Arabidopsis thaliana: one gene and its partners. The protein of the gene in region 1 purifies or fractionates together with the protein of each later gene. This does not show direct contact. Each region holds a gene or a part of one and is shown on either strand. Other genes may lie near its edges.

Evidence for each region.
Region 2: the proteins of APC2 (region 1) and APC4 purify together in Arabidopsis thaliana (affinity purification with mass spectrometry, with the first as the bait; one large-scale study listed by BioGRID). This does not show direct contact.
Region 3: the proteins of APC2 (region 1) and AT1G06590 purify together in Arabidopsis thaliana (affinity purification with mass spectrometry, with the first as the bait; one large-scale study listed by BioGRID). This does not show direct contact.

Annotation. Positions count from the first base shown.
Region 1 is NC_003071.7:1,623,015-1,629,775, reverse strand, and holds APC2 (anaphase-promoting complex/cyclosome 2), read right to left. Parts: upstream 5,147-6,761; 5' UTR 4,844-5,146; coding exon 4,613-4,843; intron 4,451-4,612; coding exon 4,379-4,450; intron 4,285-4,378; coding exon 4,053-4,284; intron 3,920-4,052; coding exon 3,639-3,919; intron 3,538-3,638; coding exon 3,466-3,537; intron 3,380-3,465; coding exon 3,135-3,379; intron 3,016-3,134; coding exon 2,599-3,015; intron 2,513-2,598; coding exon 2,311-2,512; intron 2,212-2,310; coding exon 2,109-2,211; intron 2,015-2,108; coding exon 1,932-2,014; intron 1,821-1,931; coding exon 1,701-1,820; intron 1,595-1,700; coding exon 1,506-1,594; intron 1,436-1,505; coding exon 1,354-1,435; intron 1,274-1,353; coding exon 1,097-1,273; intron 1,021-1,096; coding exon 952-1,020; intron 860-951; coding exon 737-859; 3' UTR 517-736; downstream 1-516. Other genes in the region: AT2G04650 (ADP-glucose pyrophosphorylase family protein), read left to right, coding at 5,290-5,341, 5,434-5,531, 5,844-5,944, 6,026-6,104, 6,198-6,258, 6,337-6,383, 6,472-6,564, 6,650-6,740. UniProt on the Arabidopsis thaliana protein: Component of the anaphase promoting complex/cyclosome (APC/C), a cell cycle-regulated E3 ubiquitin-protein ligase complex that controls progression through mitosis and the G1 phase of the cell cycle.
Region 2 is NC_003075.7:11,448,710-11,456,544, reverse strand, and holds APC4 (Transducin/WD40 repeat-like superfamily protein), read right to left. Parts: upstream 5,994-7,835; 5' UTR 5,803-5,993; coding exon 5,725-5,802; intron 5,641-5,724; coding exon 5,529-5,640; intron 5,315-5,528; coding exon 5,223-5,314; intron 5,068-5,222; coding exon 4,984-5,067; intron 4,791-4,983; coding exon 4,551-4,790; intron 4,211-4,550; coding exon 4,130-4,210; intron 3,960-4,129; coding exon 3,808-3,959; intron 3,654-3,807; coding exon 3,493-3,653; intron 3,404-3,492; coding exon 3,303-3,403; intron 3,227-3,302; coding exon 3,152-3,226; intron 3,033-3,151; coding exon 2,853-3,032; intron 2,738-2,852; coding exon 2,655-2,737; intron 2,578-2,654; coding exon 2,479-2,577; intron 2,170-2,478; coding exon 2,065-2,169; intron 1,778-2,064; coding exon 1,639-1,777; intron 1,508-1,638; coding exon 1,289-1,507; intron 1,192-1,288; coding exon 1,039-1,191; intron 960-1,038; coding exon 878-959; intron 781-877; coding exon 683-780; 3' UTR 538-682; and 1 more. Other genes in the region: SPHK2 (Diacylglycerol kinase family protein), read right to left, coding at 1-315; AT4G21520 (Transducin/WD40 repeat-like superfamily protein), read left to right, coding at 6,168-6,343, 6,465-6,527, 6,644-6,696, 6,794-6,874, 6,970-7,043, 7,137-7,219, 7,317-7,423, 7,519-7,661 and 1 more.
Region 3 is NC_003070.9:2,021,713-2,026,614, reverse strand, and holds the start of AT1G06590 (anaphase-promoting complex subunit), read left to right. Parts: upstream 1-1,865; 5' UTR 1,866-2,109; coding exon 2,110-2,280; intron 2,281-2,592; coding exon 2,593-2,752; intron 2,753-2,837; coding exon 2,838-2,959; intron 2,960-3,330; coding exon 3,331-3,565; intron 3,566-3,984; coding exon 3,985-4,162; intron 4,163-4,252; coding exon 4,253-4,337; intron 4,338-4,435; coding exon 4,436-4,521; intron 4,522-4,708; coding exon 4,709-4,838; intron 4,839-4,902. Other genes in the region: AT1G06620 (2-oxoglutarate (2OG) and Fe(II)-dependent oxygenase superfamily protein), read right to left, coding at 1-181, 474-997. UniProt on the Arabidopsis thaliana protein: Component of the anaphase promoting complex/cyclosome (APC/C), a cell cycle-regulated E3 ubiquitin-protein ligase complex that controls progression through mitosis and the G1 phase of the cell cycle.

The DNA.
Region 1 (6,761 bases):
GAATTATTTATTTATTCATAAAATGTATTTCTGACTTGCGGTTTAATTATTATGTTATTGGTTGGTTTAATTAGATATTTATGGGAATATTTAATTATATTTTTTTTTTAAAAAATGGGTCGGGTTGTTTCAATTAGATATCATATTGTTGTGATTTTTTGTTAACCAAATAAGCTACATTACCTGCAGAATCGCGATTAACTTAGACTAGTTTACAGCTATTGCCCGCAGATTTTTTTTTTTTTTTTTTGTCATCAGATATTATTTAGGACTCAAACAAGTCAAAATTGCGATAAATTATTTACATAAGTAATGTGTAGCGGTTCTGCACTAATTGCTCGCGGATTTCAGAATACTATTATCAGGGTTTCTCAAATACTCTTTATAAAAGAGAAATCGATAATTTTATTATTAAACAGTATATCAAATTCAATAAAAACTGGCAAATACATTATACATTAAACCTAAGTAGGCTATTGATAAGAAAGCTCAAAATCATTAAGAACCTCTAAAGAATATCACAACTTGTATAATTTACCCTAATGGAGAAATGGCCAATCTCTAATTACATAATTGTGTGGTTAAAGAAATGATTGTGGAGTCAAAGAAAAATAAAAAGAAAAGTAGTAATTGTTTATCACTAACTATATGAGATTTAATTGAGAAAAGAAAAGGATATTGATACAACAATAGACAAAATTAGTTCTAGCTAGTCTAACACATGTAAAGAGTTGATCTACTTCTTTAGCAAATACATACCATCTCTAAACTCTAGTTTCTCTTCAGAAACCAAACCAGAAAGAAAGCTCTGAAGCTGTTGCAGTGACTTGTCATAAGAAGGATCAGCCACACAAAACATCTACAACAAAACAACAAAAAAAACAGAGCAATCATCAATGATCAAGACAAATAATATTGTAAAATCAGTGAGGTTTGATGTCAGATTGTTACCTTGAGAGTGTTATGGATTCGTTCTAGTGCCATGCTACCAAAATTTGTGAGCATTCCCATGATGAATTTCTGAAAACATGGTTGATAATTGTTTAGATTTGTATATCTCTGGAGAAGGAAAAAGTTTCCCAAGCATTTTACATACCTCGTATATCGTCATTTCTTTGCGAAGCTGATCTTCCACAGAGGCAATTGATGTTTCACCCTCTTCCTCACCTGTTAGAAGCTCCTCGCCTTCGTTCTTTCCAGAATCAGTTATGGATTCAACGAGCGTTAACACACTGGAATTTGAGTTTGCTCCTGTAGATTCTCTCAGAACTCCCTAAGTACAGAAAAACTTGCAAATAAGCTTTTCATCTAAATGACTGGTTTAAAGCAGGAGACTACAATTACGGTATATACCTTGCTTATCCAGAAGTTTACTCTTCGGTTTAATGCATCAATGGGTATCCCAATGACTTCAGCAAGATCTTTATAGGTCCAACTGAAAGATTACATAACTTCAGTGAATTTGGAAGATGGAAATATCCATATTGACTGATTCTTGTACTTACCTTTTCTTTTCTTGAAATTGCATAATAATGGCTGCATGTGTGGGTGAGACTGTGAACTGCATTGCTCTGTCTTCAAATTGCAGCTCCAACTGAATCCATCCAAGCCATTTCAGAGAGATGCATAGGTCAGTATCTGATTTACCCAATACTCGAAAACATGAAACTTTCACTTATAAGTATTTATTCTAGATGTACCTTGACAGTGCCAAGATTTTTCTTCCAAAGTAATTTACGAGGGGTCTTGATTTCATGATATCGATTGGCATAATCTGATAGCAGCTTGTCGACAGGTCCAGGTAGCTCTAGAGGTTCATCCTGAAATTCCTCTTCTAATCAGCGAATGGAAGCGATCACAAGAATCTATACGCCTCATATTTTACGTATGACATAATGGATACAAAATCAGAGGGAAGAACATATGAATACCTGAATTGGTGGCCAGAAGTTTGTTGAAAGTATCGTTGAGGTGAGAGTATCAACAGAAAGCTCATTCTCTCTTAACTCAGCGCCTAAACACAAGCAATGGACACAAATACCAAGTAAAAGAACCAGACAAGAACCTACCTTGCATGAGTAAAATTGAGAACAAGAGAGAAATATAACCTGTTTGAGATGCTTTTTTAATGTTAGTGTTCACTCTCTTAGAATCAATTAGGTCGTTCAGCATTATCTCACATCTTTGCATACTGGCTTCTCCAAAATGTATCTATTGGCATAATAAGAGAAGGTAAAGTTAGATTCAACACTATAGAAACAATCCAATAGTTTGGCAAGTCAAACTTAAGAGGGACAAAATGGAGCTTGCCTTGAGAAGTTCAACAGTGCGTATCTCAGTGTCGATGTCATAATCAGTCTTGTTGAGAAGCTTTTCCGCAAGCATAACACGATATTCGTTTACTAGTTGCTCTTTAGATCCAATTATATCAACAAGCATTCCAAGTATGTCTACCTTCCTCTGACTGAGGCTACCTTTTAAAGGATCAGCCTCGACAGGGTCCGGTTCCCAACTGAGGTGAAAGCACATTAAAAGGTGTCAGACAAATCCAATGCGAAGCAAGATGATAATCAAGAAAATATACAACAGGAAGGATACCGGGAAGCATTGATCCAGGCTTGCTTATCATCGGTGTGAAAATCATCGTCAAAACCGACATTCTCTTGACTTTCTTCATCCCTCATTAATTCTTCAAGAAGACTATCCCCAGGGTTTCCGGAACCATTTGCATTCCCTCCACTTCCATCTGTAAGCATAGTGACGATACATTTAATGGTATCTTTCCGCCCCCGTAAATAGTCTCTAATTGGTTCACCCACTGCTTCCAGAAATACACCAGCTGGATCTATTGCCCGAAGAGCTTTAATAGTCGACACATACTGATGTAATATATCATTGGTTGAGGCACCAGCAGTGAGCAAACGGTATTTCAGCGAAGAAATAAAAGATTCAACTAGCTTAGAATGTTGTCCAGTATATTCAAGACACTGCTTTAAGTCTTCAATGGCAGGAGAACTGTTGCATCAACAAAATTTTCATCAGAGACGCAAGATATTTCGACTACTTGCAGTTTTTAAATTGGCTCTCAAGTGAGATATGTGGGCATAAAAAAGTAACATCAGAAAAGAAAATACCTCTCAGGATAATCAACAATTATCTCAAATAATTTGGCAATCCTTAAATCTTGAAGTGTTTCATATGCAAAATATTCTAGCCGTAATTTCCACCGAACAATTCCTTCAGAAGGAGTCACCACTCTGGAAAAGCTTGGAGATGGGCAACAAGCCAGAGGGGACGTGAGGCCAGACGATGTGGTACCATAACTTACGGAATCACCAAGATAAGAAAGAAGTGCATTAAGGAATTGTAGAGGGACTGTCTGAAAAGAGAAAATAAGATGTCAGGAATCTCCAAATTACCAAACTAATCTGATGGAGCAGTGAAAATCTAACCAGCAAAAACTACCTGAATCCATTCTTTGATTGATTCCAAAACAGAAGTCCTGTAATCATCACCAGCCAGATCATGGACTTTCGCCTACAGTATAACATTGCCAAACAGGGTACAAGTTACTGACAATAGATATAGTGTTATAACTCTCTGTGAGGCAGATGAATAATCTGATGCATAAAAAATACCTTAAGGAGCAAAAAGATGGCAGAAGCATAAGCATTTTCAGCCATAGATGTAAATCCAATACTTCTAAGGTCACGGACCACCTTCCCAATGTTCTTCACCAACTTGTCATGTCCCAAACGTTTTCCTTGGGAACAGCCTTCATCAACATCCATTTCTCCGTTTTTATATCTCAACTTCTCGTCCAAATCCATGCAATCATCCTCTTGTTCTTCAATACCATCTCCGTCCATGATTGCGCTTAACTCCTCCAGCCTTTCCTTAAAATACCAGTGGAGTATTTCTAAGAACATAATAAAAAGAGGAACAATAAGAGAGTAATGATTGAACAAGTGGCAAACGTATAAATAAAACTTCCAAGCAATCAAACTACATCAGAAATCACACAAAGAACAAGCTTTCAAAGATGGGTATACCAGGAAAATGCTGAGGAAGTGTAGTCATCAGAGTTGAAGACAGCATTGACTGGAACCTCGAAAAAAGATGAACTCTTTCTGTATCTGAGTTCTGTCTATCATCTGACGACTGTTCTTTAAACGACTGCAAAGCATGAACTACTATGGACAGACACTTCTCATGATACTGCTTTTCAATAGAAATTTCTTCCAAAGCCTTGCATAACACTATCTGAATCTCCTCTCCATAATTCTGCCCAAAAGCACTCATTTTTAGTCAAAACTAGAAGTCAATTTCAGAATATTTTATAGCAAACAAAGAATCAACCAAGCGTGTAACTTCTTACATGATGTTTCTTCTCACTATAAGCATCAAAATGTTGCCAAAAACTCGATGCACCTCCCTTCTCAAAAGCTTGCTGAAACAAAACAAATGTATCATAAGAGAACAAACATACTTCTTCCACTTTTACTCTACACCAACAGAGCAGCTACTAAGTGGTACAAGCTAATCAGTTATGCAATCAGAAAGCTCCAAGACTCAAACTTTAATCTAAAAGGAAGACGTTTATGTTCAGTACCTCAAGTGATCTAAGAAAGTGATCACGAACAAGAGAATCAAGCCCATACTTGCAGAGACAATACACATGAGACACAAACTCATCTTCAACTAAGGAATCTCCAGTACCAGCAATGAGAGACTCTACAGTAGTGAAAAATCCATCATAGCTTTCAGTAATCTCCTGAATCGCATCGTCTGATAGAGTTTCTAAAATCTCTAAATTGCAATCAGAGGAACCTAAAGCTTCCATCTTTTTCACTCTTGAGTAAGTAACAAAACCTCCTAAAACCCTAATTTCTTGCCCAGCAAAATCACAATTACTAGGGTTTCACTGGCAAGAAGATAAAATCAGAAACCAATCTCAATTTCATTTCACTGAAGAAACAAAATCAAACGGAACACATTAATGAAGAAAAGATTGAAATTTACATTGATGAAGTTCAGAGAGAGAAGCTATAGAAGAAGATTCATAAAGTTTGGTCATTCACAAACGCAATTATAAAACGCTAACAAACGCAAAAACAAAACGGAATTAAAAAAGACGTTTTATTAGGCTCCATTCTGATTACTCTGTTTTTCAACTTTAGTTCAAAAAACTTGAGAATATCCGACTACAAAGATACGACCTTTCAATACAAAATCAGATCATCGTCGTGTGTTTAACTTTAACGAATCTAGGTTTTATTGAATCTCGACATGTCGGAGGAGAAAGTCGTCGCTGTGATCATGGTTGGTGGTCCGACCAAAGGTATAACATTCTCTTTTGGATCTCAAATTCTATTTTCAAAACATGAATTTTTGATTTTGGTTTTGGGTTTTTGCTAATGTGGATTGGTTTAGGAACTCGATTTCGCCCGTTATCGTTCAATACACCGAAACCATTGATTCCTTTGGCTGGTCAACCTATGATTCATCATCCTATCTCTGCTTGTAAAAAGGTTTCTTCTTTTTACTATTTCTTGCTTTTGATCCCTGAGAAAAGTTTGGTATTGCTTGAGTCGTGAAAGTTGTCAACTTTGAAATGTGGATTGCTCATAACTTGTTTTGATTTGACATGGATCGTTTGTCTTTATGTGGGTTTGTTCCATTTTAGTACTCTACACTTTGGAATATTTTCTTGTTGTTGTATGATTTGTAGTGTCAAAGTTTTGAACTTTTCATAGTTTCTTCAGGCTCAAAGGATGGGAAAGTTCTCAACTTTGTAATGATGATTGATCATATTATATTTGTTTTGTATTTGGCATGGACAGATATCAAATCTGGCTCAGATTTTTCTGATTGGATTTTACGAGGAACGAGAATTTGCTTTGTATGTGTCTTCAATATCTAACGAGCTGAAAATTCCAGTGCGGTAAGTTGTAGTAGCATTTGTGTTTTTGGTTTTTGGTGTGTAATGTGAAATCGAGAATTGAACGATGTTCTTGTTATATAGATACTTGAAAGAAGATAAACCCCATGGTTCAGCTGGTGCTCTTTATTACTTTCGTGATAGAATTATGGAAGAGAAACCGGTTTGATTTCTGATGAAATTCCCAACTTTAGTTCCTGCCTCATCAGTCATTTGTTTTCCTGATTGATCTTCCATTTCTTGTCTCTTTGAACAGTCACATGTTTTCCTCCTCAACTGTGATGTTTGCTGTTCTTTCCCTCTTCAAGGCATACTTGGTAATCTCCCTTTGAAATCGCTAATCTGCTTCATCGTTTTCATTTTCTTACTTTGATGTACTTCACTACTTTTCGTAGACGCACATCGAAGATATGGTGGTATTGGAACTATGCTAGTAATCAAGGTTCGTTATCCTGATGTTATTTTAGATGTCACTAAGGAAACAAACATAAAGATCAAACATAAACATGAATATCGCTTTTTCACTTCAGGTTTCTGCAGAAGCAGCTAGCCAATTTGGTGAATTGATAGCTGATCCTGATACTAAAGAACTCCTGCATTATACAGAGAAGCCCGAGACTTTCGTAATTATCTGCTAAACAATCCTGTTTTCTTAATTCCTTCACAGGCTCTGAAATTTGTTTAGCTTAAATTATCTACTCAATGCAGGTCAGTGACTTGATAAACTGTGGTGTCTATGTGTTTACTTCAGATATCTTCAATGCAATTGAAGAAGTATATAGCCAAATAAGAGACACATGTGAGTATTCATTATTGGCCT
Region 2 (7,835 bases), on another chromosome or scaffold:
TTGACGAAGCTTATAGCACCATCCATTTTGATCGATGAGAGGCTCAAAGACGAAATCTTTCCTCACGAAGTCTCCACCAAATTGTCCGCAGCAGATTCCTCCTGCCTCTTTCTCAACCACGGCTTTTACTCTAATCTGCTTACCTTCGACGATGAAACCAAGAACATCCTTCTTCATCGACAAATACTGCCGGAGTCCATACTCTGTCCACCGTAACTCCCCGTCGGCAGTCAAAGTCAACATAGCCAATTCACCATCAATAAACACTATGCCGGTGATTATATCAGTCGGACACATGAATTGATCATTCTCCATGAGACAAAACAAGACAACCTCCGTGACGGTGGCGTAGAGCTTAGAGAAAGAGAGAGAATTTCGTCTTGCTTCCTTAGTTGAGCTAAGAATAAAGAATGGACTTTGAAAAAACCCACCTTTTTGGTCAGCTTTGTCTGATCAAAGGGGAAGTGACAACCACGCGCTTTAACCTGTCGAGTGGCTGAGCTGACGTGGCGTAACCCTCTTTAATTATGACGCAAGTGTGAAAAGAAGAGACTGATACAGACATTAGAAGAAGTCATTAACTAACAAAACGTCACCGTTTACAACTTCAAGTAGTCAAGTTTCTGTTTCTTAACTTTAATAATCTACACAAACAACAATCAAAGCAGGCATTGGAGGAGGTTTACTTTTCATCAGAGATTTCTTCATCTTCATCTTCTTCCAATATGTACACCAAAGCTCGTCTTCTTTCAGCAAAAACACAAGCCACTCCTCTTGAAGCTGTAAGAATTTTAAATAATTAAGCAAATTATTTCATGATTTTGAAAAAGCATTTCTAGTTTGAAGAAGAAGAAAAGACAGAAAATTAAGCTCTTACCGCTTACTGCTAGAGGAGCAATGACAGAATGTGGTACTTTGCGAACCTTTTCATTCTCCATTTCCAGGTTCACAATCGAGCCCTGGAGATGCATAAGTTCTTACATAAACTTCACTAATTTTAAAACAAACGTCGATGTTAATGCTTGAAATTAGCAATACCTTCAAATCCTCTAGCTCCCACTGGTTTAGAGAACTAGATCCTGAAATGGAAATGAATGCGAGGTCACCAGTTTGTACAACCATCATGCATGCTTCTCCCGAGCCTTCGGAATCTGTATTTGTCTTATTCAATAATAAAACCAGTTCTTTATCCTGTTTCAAAATCAGACACAGGATTTACAAGGCAACTCCAAAAGAAAAAATATACCAATTAAATCAACCATTGTTGCAGAAGAGAATGAGTATTCACCTTGTAGAGAGACAAATCAACACAAGTGTAGCCATTAGGTACAGATAACAAAACGGCTTCCAGAGAAGTATAACCATTTTTCTCATTGTTGGAATTCTGCTTATAACCCTTAGCTATGCCAATACAGTTTGAAATCTCTGGGAAGGTCTCATCGGGGACTTGAAAAGATATGTAATCAGTGTACCCACTTTGACAAGGTGTATCATCAGAAAGTTCATTCTGCACAAGCAAACAGAGACTTTAGTATATCAGGAGCAAATGAAGACTTTGGAGATAGCAATCAGCAATCTCTTCCTAAGGATGCCCTATGGGATCATAATAAAGTGCATTAAGATTGTTGCTGCAAGTACCTTATAGAAGGAAAGAGACATGGGAATTGTTGTAGGTGTTTGCGTTGTTGACAACTGAAGAGGGCAAAGAGGCAACAACTTCATACATGATATCTTTCTTGATATTGTTGTAAAGGGCATTTGAAAAGCCATCTTGAAGCTAAAATTGTTAAAGCATTAAAATCAGAATTTGACGTCTAGTCAGAGAAAGCCATGAGAAAGTATGTCCAGATTATAAAGACTCAGCACACTTTGTTTTGCAAGTAAACTCCAATACCATAAATATGGTTGTTCATGTTGTATTTCAAAATGCCAAGGCAGCCATGGTATCGGACCTTTGTCTCTACCATAGCCTTTTACACGTATCAGTTTACCAACGTTGTGCTCCATGATGCAGCATTTTTAAGAAACTTTATGTTTTAAGAAGTGAAGATGTAAAGAAAATACCTAGACTCCATGTGTTGGAATTCCTTAGCCAATGTCCTCTGCAGAAAATCACACTCTGAAAACCCTCCAAACTGAAGTAACTCTTTGACTCTTCCGATGGTTTTGCTGGGACATTAAAACATTAAGAGTTTAAATGAAATGAAGTAAAACAAAGTGAATGAACAGCTAGGGATGATACAATGGACTTCATGCTTCACAAACGCACACACATTACCCATATCTGAATTTCGTTTTAGTGTGGTTAGAGAAACCTGCTCGGATTTCATTCGTATTATCACATTGGACTACCCCTATTGTATGTGGTTATAAATGGCTTAAAAAATTTTAGGTAACCTGACAGAGATTCTGCTCGACTACAAGATAAGTGATCAGAAAAGGTAGGTAAAAGCACAGACATAGAAAGAGTTGACCTACAGATCAATTTCAATGTCATCACCAGCTTCAGATAGCTCCAAGAGGTCTTTCACAGGATCTTGGTCATATAAGAACTTCAAGAATACCACAAGGAGTTCACTGCCACAGAAACAAACCATGTAACTGCAAAGATTTGGCTTTAACACCTTTAACAACATAAAAACACATGTGCATACCTGTTGTATGACAAAAGCTGATCATTCGGTTCTTGCATAAGATACTTTATACTTCTGACGAGCCAGTTGAAGAAATTTGAGAACTGAAACAAAAAGTTTATAATTCTATTGAAATGACCATTGCGTGGGAAACATGGGACAGCCAACATACTAAATAACTATGATTTTCAGTGTCAAAAGAACTGCACGCCTCTGTACCTGTTGGACAACAGAAGATAGTACCATCATAAACCGTTGCACTTGTACAAGTAGCAGACCAGTATTTTCAGTGGCTTCATTAAGGAGCATCTCATCCAAACCAATGCCTTGGTACCGTGCACGCCACCTCGATAGACCTCTTAATTCACCTATCCTGAATCCGATAATTTCTGCTGCAGGCTGAAAAAGAAAGCTTAATTCGTGACAAAACTCTATCTAAAAAGTATTAGCTGTATAAATAAACGCTACTTAGTCTAAAAACTATAACTCCATTTTCAGGAATGTAAAGAATACTGTACCTGAAGATGGTCAAGGACAACCTGCTGAAGCTCTTTTCCTGTACCACATACTGACTTTAAAACACGCTTCACACCCTACTGAACAAGAGAACTACTTAGTGGAATATGATAAAACTAGTACCCTGAAGAAGATCAAACAAGTAAAGCTTACCACTTCGCCAAGAGAGTTAACTAAAAACTGATTAAGCGCTGGGCTTATTCGTGCACCACCCAAAAGGCTAAGAAATTCTTCTTGAGGAGATGATTCCAGTCCTAGTAGAAAAGCAACAAAGCCCTGTAAATCTATAAGCAATTAAGCATAAGAGAAAAACCTCAACCAACAAACTGATAGTGACAAATACCATTATCAATGATCAAGGTGGAAAGAGAATGAAACTTTTCATGAAAAGTTTTCATTGCATCCGCCCATTGTTTGTTCATAACTGACAGGGATGCTCGAATAACCTCGGTCAAATCTTCAATGTTAGAAGCTTGTTGAGCAACCTGATGAAGCTCATATTTCCTGAGATAAAAATTAGAAGAGATAACGAATATGACAGATGTAAGGCAGAAAAACAGTGCCAATTATTAAAGGTTATTAAAATCAAGATTTAAAACAATGAGAAGGAACAAAAGAAAGAAGCAGCGGCAAAGTATAGCTAGGTTTGGTGTATTACCTTTTCCAAAATATAGATGTGTCCATTGCAAGGCAATGTAAACCAGGCAGATCTTGAACATTTATTTTTTCCTCTCTTGGCTTGATATCACAATCCTTAAGCTCTCCTGTGCACATTACTACCAGACGGCAAAGGTCTTTTGACAGAGCAACCTAAGAAATGAAATATACAAATAATTAATTTGAATCTAAAGACTCCTTATCATCTACCAAGCTCTCCTTTCTTTGTTTCCACAACAGACATTAACAGTCTGAGACATGAGAAATAACGAGAGGCCATTTATATCATTTGGAAAGCGTGGCTCTTGAAAGGATCCAAGTACCTTGTAAATGGAAGCATTAAATAGTTTGCAAGAGGCATGCTCATCGAGATGAGGCACAGGAAGAGACAGCTCGTGTATGTTCTGATCATGGTAATGCAAGAGCAGCAGAGCAAACACATGAAACAAGAGAAATGAAGACTTAAATTAAAATTATACTAAGAGAATATTGCTCATAGCTAGAAAAGAAATAAGAAACTTACAAACCGTAAACTTTACTCCTAACAATATTAATTACTTGTTATAAACGAACAATTAAGGATCTCAGAAAATAATTTCCATGTAGAAATAGTGTTGAAATTCATTAAGCATCCTGCAATTCTATATGCAAGCGGAATGGAAAGATGATGAAGCATCATCAACCATAATACATGAATGGATAATTACGGCTTACTAATTACTTACAGTCAAAAGAGCGACTTACAATCTTTCCTATCTGAAATATTCCAAATATACTGAAGCATATGTTCCCATCACGATCACCAGTGCAAAGAATGTTAAACTTCCGGAATGAGGTATTGGATAGCTCTGCCAAAGAGTCTTCACCGTCATCCATGAAACTGGAGTCACCAGCTACCAGTCCAGGCATCTTTGGAGGTCTTGGAGCAGGAGGAAAAAAACGGGAGGTCCGGTCCTCATAAACTGAGAAATTACCACTTTCATCCTGTAAACCAAACTCTAAGAAAAAGTAAGCACAAGCTCAAATAACTATAAGAGTTGGGTGTGAAAAAAAAAACTAAGAGAATAGATGCTTCAACTGGGATTGGTAAAAGAAACTTTCTCAGTTTGTCAACACAAATATAGATACCGCAACCAAACATGAGTTCTTGTACAACTAGTCAGAGGAGAAAACATACAGTATTGGATTGTCCATCCTCCTCCCAGTTAAGACACACGACAGCTACATCATGGGGCTTCAAGTTCCTTAATAGCTTCCCATTCTGCATGAAAAGAGTATTACCAACTTTTTGATCAGCATGATCCTTTATAAATAAAACATAATACTAGTTTCTATACAGCAAAGTTTAAAAAGGAATATTTAGGCTATCAACAACGTCATCATGTAAAACATGGATTAGTTTCAATCTATACTTGCCTCAACATCGTGAAGTGAAATGGTTCCATCCTCGAGCCCAACAGCTATGGCTTTGCCATCAGGACGCCAACATAAAGAAGTAACAGGCTTTCCTATAAACCAAAAGAAAGGAAATACACTTAGTACCAGAACTATTGACAACCTACTTCAAATTGCATTCCACTTTCAATTTCAGCAAATAACTAAGTTCCACAAACGAATTTTCATCAAGCCTGAAAGTTAAGGAATACAATAATCACAAACCATCTTGTAATCAAAATTGTCTACTTTAAATCAAACAAAGTGAACAAAAGAGAGAAACTTTACCAGGCGAAATAGTCCATAATCTCTGCCAATTGAACCGATGCAGCAAAATCTTGGAGTCCTCAGTAACCATTGCCAGTAAATCCTTCTCCGGGTTCCACTCAGCTATCTTAATCTAATGAAATTGAACATATATAAACATCTAAATCCTTAAAAGCATAAAAAAGACACGAACTTTGAGCAGGAGTAGAACCAAAACCTGAAAAGGTATGGGCTTGTCGAACTGGAGCTGGAAAGGAATGATATTTTCTTCCTCGTCACTCGCCATTTCCGACATTCCGAGGTTTTTGGGATTAGGGGTTAATATTCTAATTTTCAATATCTAGCAAAGCTGTAGGAAGGAAGTAACTAGAGAGAAACACTTGAGAAGAAAGCTGTAGAGAGTGGATAAAGGAAAGAAGACGGTGGTCGCCGGGATTCGCCGATCCGCCGGGAGAAGAGAGAGACGCACTAATGACAAACCTGGCGGGCTTTTCTTCCAAATTCCAATCAAAATCCCTAATCCGGTTTTTGGTTTAAGTTCGGTTCAATTTGTCGGTCTGAGATTGAAAACCTGGTTCAGGTTTTGGAGATTTTGACTGGGGTTTAGAACGAAAGTAAACCTCTCTCTGCTGCTTTTTTCCAGAAGCTCTGACGAAGAAGATGGGTGAAGAAGAAGCAGTAGCAGAAGAAAATGGTGGACTTAAGGTAGAATCAGGAGAACAAAAATCATCCTGGCCTACTATGAGATTTGATGTCTCTCCTTATAGAACGCACCATTTCTCTAAGCAGTTCAGGACAGCTCGAAACCCTAATAATTTCCTCAAGGGTCTTAAGTGGTACCCTTTTCTTCTTGTTTCAAATCAATCTCTTGAGTAGAGTTTTGTTCTTTCTCAAAGTTTGGTTTTTTCTTTTTGCCTAACTTTTGAGGTACTGATTTTGTTACTGTTTCTTATATAGGTCACCTGATGGTTCATGTTTCCTTGCAAGCTCTGAAGATAATACACTTAGTCTGTTTCATCTGTAAGTTGAATAATTTCAATTGAAATATTTTTGTAGCTTAAGTATCAATAATTTTGTATGTTTGTGTAGTTTTAGTTCTCTGTTGAATCTTTAGTTTTGCAAATTTGCCCCATCAGGCCACAAGATGGAGGGGATTCTAATGGCTATGGAGTGCCAGTCCCTGAAGAAGGTTAGCTTTTCCATCTAGCATTTGTATGTTGTGGCAAATGCTGTAAAATATGTGTGAAGTAATTTTGTGATTCATGGTGTGTTTATTGGAATTGTAGATTCGTATGGTGCGAGTCTTCTAGTGAATGAGGGTGAATCTGTCTATGATTTCTGTTGGTATCCATACATGTCAGTTTCAGGTAATAGATAAGCTCATCATAAGGGGTTCAATTTTTTGGCTTAATGATTTCATCAGTTGAATTACTGATTTTGGCTGTTCACTGATTGATATCAGACCCTTTAACATGCGTCTTCGCTACCTCCACTAGAGACCATCCGATACATCTTTGGGATAGTACTTCTGGTGAGGTGCTGATTTTTTCCATGAAACTTAACATGTTTACTGGAGATTTTTTCTACCATCCTTTTTTGTTTATTTACATGTGAATAACACAATGTCAGCTTCGATGCACATACCGGGCCTATGATGCTATGGATGAAATAACTGCTGCATTTTCAGTTGGATTCAATCCTGATGGAACCAAGTAAGCAAAAACTTCATCTAAGTTGTATCCATCTTCCCACACGGTAAAGAATTGATTAAAAGTGGTCTATGTTCATTTGCCTGTGTTATGTCTTTAGGATCTTTGCTGGTTACAACAGCTCCATCAGAGTGTTTGATCTTCATCGTCCTGGAAGAGATTTTAGGCAGTATTCAACTCTACAGAAAAACAAAGAGGGCCAAGCAGGTTTTTTTCTTTCTTTTCCACTCAGACGCTGCATAACAATATTATTACAGATTATACAGAAACAAGAACAACCTTAACTGGTTCATAATTTCCAGGTATATTATCTACTCTTGCTTTCTCCCCAACTAATTCTGGAATGTTGGCTGTGGGGTCTTACGGGCAAACTACTGGGATTTATAGAGAAGACAACATGGAGCTATTGTATGTTTTACATGGTCAAGAAGGCGGTGTTACACATGTAAGCATTGACCACTAAATGTGCCTTATTTTTGTCCATTGGGATATGATCCAATTATTGATCGAATTTTTGGTGGCTTTTAGGTCCAGTTTTCAAAGGATGGGAACTATTTATATACAGGAGGTCGCAAGGTAACATACTGTTATAAACATTTTACCCTCTGAATGTTGAGCA
Region 3 (4,902 bases), on another chromosome or scaffold:
TAAGCCTAGAGTAAGGTCGGGTTGGGGACATGGCGGGTAATAATGGCCGAGCAACAGCAAGGAGTTAGTGCAATCCATGTCCTTGAGGTGATTAGTGTTTAACCCTAGAGCTTCCGAGAGAAGCTCGAAGAGTAATTTACCCAATTTCATCACTTCCTTTGAGTACTCAATCATCATCTCCCTGAAAAAATGTCCACCAAAATCTTTAAGACACACTAATGAATAATGGGGGCGTAAAAATCTTCAACGAAATCCTAGCGCTTATAACTATTTGAATAAGTTATTATTGGATTTATGTATTTCAATTGTTATAAAAATTTGTTAAAAAAGAAAACGTATTATTGGATTAATATTCGTCTAACGAGTAGTGAAACACTATTCGACCATATATAATTTCTTCGGACCGAGGAACACAACATGTTACAAAAGCAAAAATAGTCAAACTCGTAATTTAACAAATTTGGAAATCTTACCCACAAGTGGCGGGTAAGTCCTCCGGTCTCGGGGGATCTGGTGCTGTATAACAACCAAGTGTATCTCTCCAATTCGCCGCCGGTGAGCTAAACAGATCGAAGTTGCTGCTGTATACCATCTTACTAGCTGGATCTCGAGAGTAAAACCCTTTCTTCACTTCAGTGTCTTGCTCGTGAAACTCACGAATCCCATCTATCATCTTCTCCAACACATCCATCGGGATCCCGTGGTTGATCACCTGGAAAAATCCCCATTTCTCTGCCGCGTCTCCGATCTTCTCCACCAAGCTCCGCCGCGTGATCGAGTCCGTGCCACCTCCTTTGAGATCGATTGTGGGGATGGAGAAATCAGAGGAGGAAGGTGGTTTTGGACTTGTTAAAGTAGCCGGAGGTGCACGAAATATCGAAGGAATCTCTGTGATTCCGGCGTCGATAAGGCCTTTCACGCCGGTTTTAGTCTCGTCGAAAGCTTTGAGTAGAGTTGAACGATCAAGTGCAGCAACTTGGGGAAGTGATGACTCCATTGCTTTTAGCTGAAAATGCAATTGCCGTTGGTTTGAAGTTGGATCTTAATACTACAAGTTGTCAAAAGTTTCACGAGTCAACGACGAAGATAGATGAGAAGAAGTACATGTCTTAGTTAAATTATTCACGTTTCCCACGTGGGGAAAAACCGGGACAAGAAAAAATAATGATAACAAAAAATAGGAAAATGGAGATGCGGGGTATCGATCCCCGTACCTCTCGCATGCTAAGCGAGCGCTCTACCATCTGAGCTACATCCCCGATGACGAAAATGTACAATTGGTCAAAATAAATTAATATACGAACTATACTAGTATCATATTCAACAGCTCATTTTGTCACGTTTATATATTGTATATACAATAATTTTTGTTATTATTTTATTTTTGGCCATCAGCAAGACCTTTTTAAAAAATCGCAACAATAATATTATTCAAGTATTCGGATAGTGGCTCTCGCGTCGAAATGTTTTGGAAGCCTGCGTCACTATCATGGTTAATGGCAAGTTGGCAACAACTACATGAGGTAATCCTTTGTCAAAAATAAATAAATTGAAATCTCTGATAAAAAGATAAAATATAGATTCTGTTCTAATACGATATTTAGTCGAAACTAATAAAAGAGTATATACGAACTTTTTAATGTCTTTGTAATTTGTAAATTCCGTTGTAGTTTTGTAAATTTAAGAAAGTTTTGTTGCCCCAAAAAAAAACGAAATTAAAAAGGAAGTTTTATTCGTTTGATTATTAGTTTATTTAGCTTCTTTTATTTCACCTTTGGGCCTTACACATCAAATCAAACTTAAAAGTTAAAAGGAAAACTTTGGGCCTTGGCCTCTGGGTTATATACTCTTAAGGCTTAACCCGACGGCGGTCAACTACCGGCCTGAAATAACCGGTTTTTATTTTTCCTTTGTTTCTCTTTTCAAAGTGCTCACTTTCCCGGTGACTCTTTAGTCAAAATTTCAAATTAATTCCTCTAAGGTGCCCTAATCCCGGCTGCTCGTCGGGGGAAAATAACCCGGCAGGGATTGAGCAACAGCGTGAGTCCCAAAGTGAGAGACAGTGTGAATCCCAAAGTGAGAGAGTGAGTGTTTTAGCGACAGAGAGATATGGCCGGATTAACGAGAACGGCCGGTGCTTTTGCGGTAACTCCACACAAGATCTCCGTTTGCATTCTCCTGCAGATATACGCTCCTTCCGCTCAGATGTCTCTTCCTTTTCCTTTCTCTTCCGTTGCTCAGCACAACCGCCTCGGCCTCTACTTGCTCTCTCTTACTAAGGTTTCACTCTTCGATTTCTCTCGAATTGCAATATCTTGTAGTTTTTTGAGGTTTAATTCAGCAATGTCTTTTGATTCTTCTGAGTTTCCTGGCCCGTCTCTCATACCCGAAGTTGTATCGAGTTTCTTTATTGCATTTCTTAGAGCTTCTTTGCTAATTTCTGAGATTGATTTCAGCGATGTCTGTTGTAACGATTTCACGGCTCAAAACTCTTGTAACTTATGTTGATTTCATGAGTGAATAATGAATTTGCTGGTTTCGTGTGCTAACAAACTGTTCTTTTCCCTGACGAGATTGATATTCATGCTGCAGTCTTGCGATGATATATTTGAGCCGAAGCTGGAAAAGCTCATCAACCAGTTGAGGGAAGTTGGTGAAGAGATGGACGCGTGGCTAACTGACCATTTAACTAATAGATTTTCCTCTTTGGCTTCACCAGATGATCTATTAAATTTCTTTAATGACATGCGAGGTTAGCTACTTGCTTGCTTAAGGTCTGTTTTTTCTTCTTTTCCATCATGTTTGACTCAAATTAGTTATCATTTCTTTGTATGTAGGAATACTTGGGAGCCTTGATTCAGGAGTCGTGCAAGATGATCAGATTATTTTGGATCCCAACAGCAACTTGGGAATGTTTGTTCGTCGTTGCATTTTGGCATTCAACCTTTTATCGTTCGAGGTATTGAGCTTTTTACGTTTGTGTTATTCTTGTTTTATTTTGAGACTGAATAATATTAATATTATTCAACATGACGTGTAGTTTGAGGTTTTGCTTGAAGGACGCGGATTTGTTAGCTTTTTCGTCAGCCACTTAATTGTGTCTAAACATCTATGTGAAGTTTGTTTGTTTCTTGACCCACTACAATGGAGTACTTGTCTAGGCTAGACTTAAATGTAGACGCATGTATAGGTACATTAAAATATGATATCTAATGGCAGAACTCTGGCTGGTCTGGTTGAAGTGTAATATCTAGCTGTAGTGTTCTTGATTGCTGCAGAAACACATAAGTGAATGTTTGAAAGAACCGTCCATTTCATTGATATGTGCAGGGAGTTTGTCATCTTTTTTCAAGTATTGAAGATTACTGCAAAGAAGCCCATTCAAGCTTTGCTCAGTTTGGTGCACCTAATAATAATCTGGAGTCATTAATACAATATGATCAGATGGATATGGAGAATTATGCAATGGATAAACCAACTGAAGAAATAGAGTTTCAGAAAACTGCTAGTGGAATTGTCCCTTTTCACCTTCATACACCAGATTCACTTATGAAAGCGACAGAAGGTATCCCTTATGGTATTCACCCAATTCAGAGAAAACCTAGAGTTTTTCAGAGTCTCAGGTGCTAGAAAACTATGAGGAAATAGAGTTTTATATTCATGATCAGGCTGCAATTTAGCTGCCACTTTTCTCATATATGTTTGGTAATGTATTTTTGCTGATGATTAGCATCAGTCATAGGATCAACGTTTTATCAAAGTCTTTCGATGTGTTTGTATGAAGCTTTTTCAGACTTTTCTTTTTTAACAGTTGGGCTTCTGAAGATATTTCCCTTTTTCCCTTTTGTAATGTAGAAACGATCTACTAAGAAATTAATTTTGTCGGTTTTTTATATTTTTGTTTCATTCTTATGCTTTGACACTCACTTGTCTTGTAAGGATCTCAATGTTATAATAATGCACAGAACACATGAAACATTGCAGGTTTGCTACATAATAGGAAGGAAACATCAAGGACCAGCAAGAAAGATACAGAAGCTACTCCAGTTGCTCGTGCCTCAACAAGTACACTTGAGGAATCTCTGGTAGATGAGTCATTATTCCTTCGGACAAATTTGCAGATACAAGGCTTTTTAATGGAACAGGCCGATGCAATTGAAATGTAAAGTCTCTTTTTCCTTAGTATTTATATATTTCTGTCATAAGTATTGCTAGTTTTTAAACTTTCCATCCCCTTGTAATTTGATGTCAGCCATGGAAGTTCAAGTTCATTCTCTTCAAGTTCCATCGAAAGTTTCCTTGATCAGCTTCAGAAATTAGCCCCTGAACTGCATCGTGTAATGTCTTGCAATTTTGTATTTTATTTTCAGTTAAATCAGAAGTTAATCATTCTTTCAGTGCTTTGATTCTTACATCACGACATGCAACAATGCAGGTTCACTTTTTGCGTTACTTGAATAAACTTCACAGTGATGACTACTTTGCTGCTTTGGATAATCTCCTCCGTTACTTTGATTACAGGTAATCTGTACTTTTTGCTAATTTTCTCTGTTTCCTAAAAATTTATGTTAAGAATAATATTACTGCCGAAATCGTTTATTGTTTGCATGTGACTCCTGTAAATATCCAGTTGTGTTTGCCTGTTAGATATTTGGCACTAGGAACGTTGTTTCAAACATGAGCTGATCCATGATCCATTGCCTTAAAGTGCAGGGACTGAGGGATTTGACCTTGTTCCTCCTTCAACTGGCTGCAGCATGTATGGAAGGTACGAGATTGGTTTGCTATGTCTGGGAATGATGCATTTCCGATTTGGGCATCCTAATCTGGCTCTAGAGGTGAGAATTCATTCTCCCGAGAGCTTCTATAGCTAAAAACTTGTTCTTGACGTTTAGAATCGTC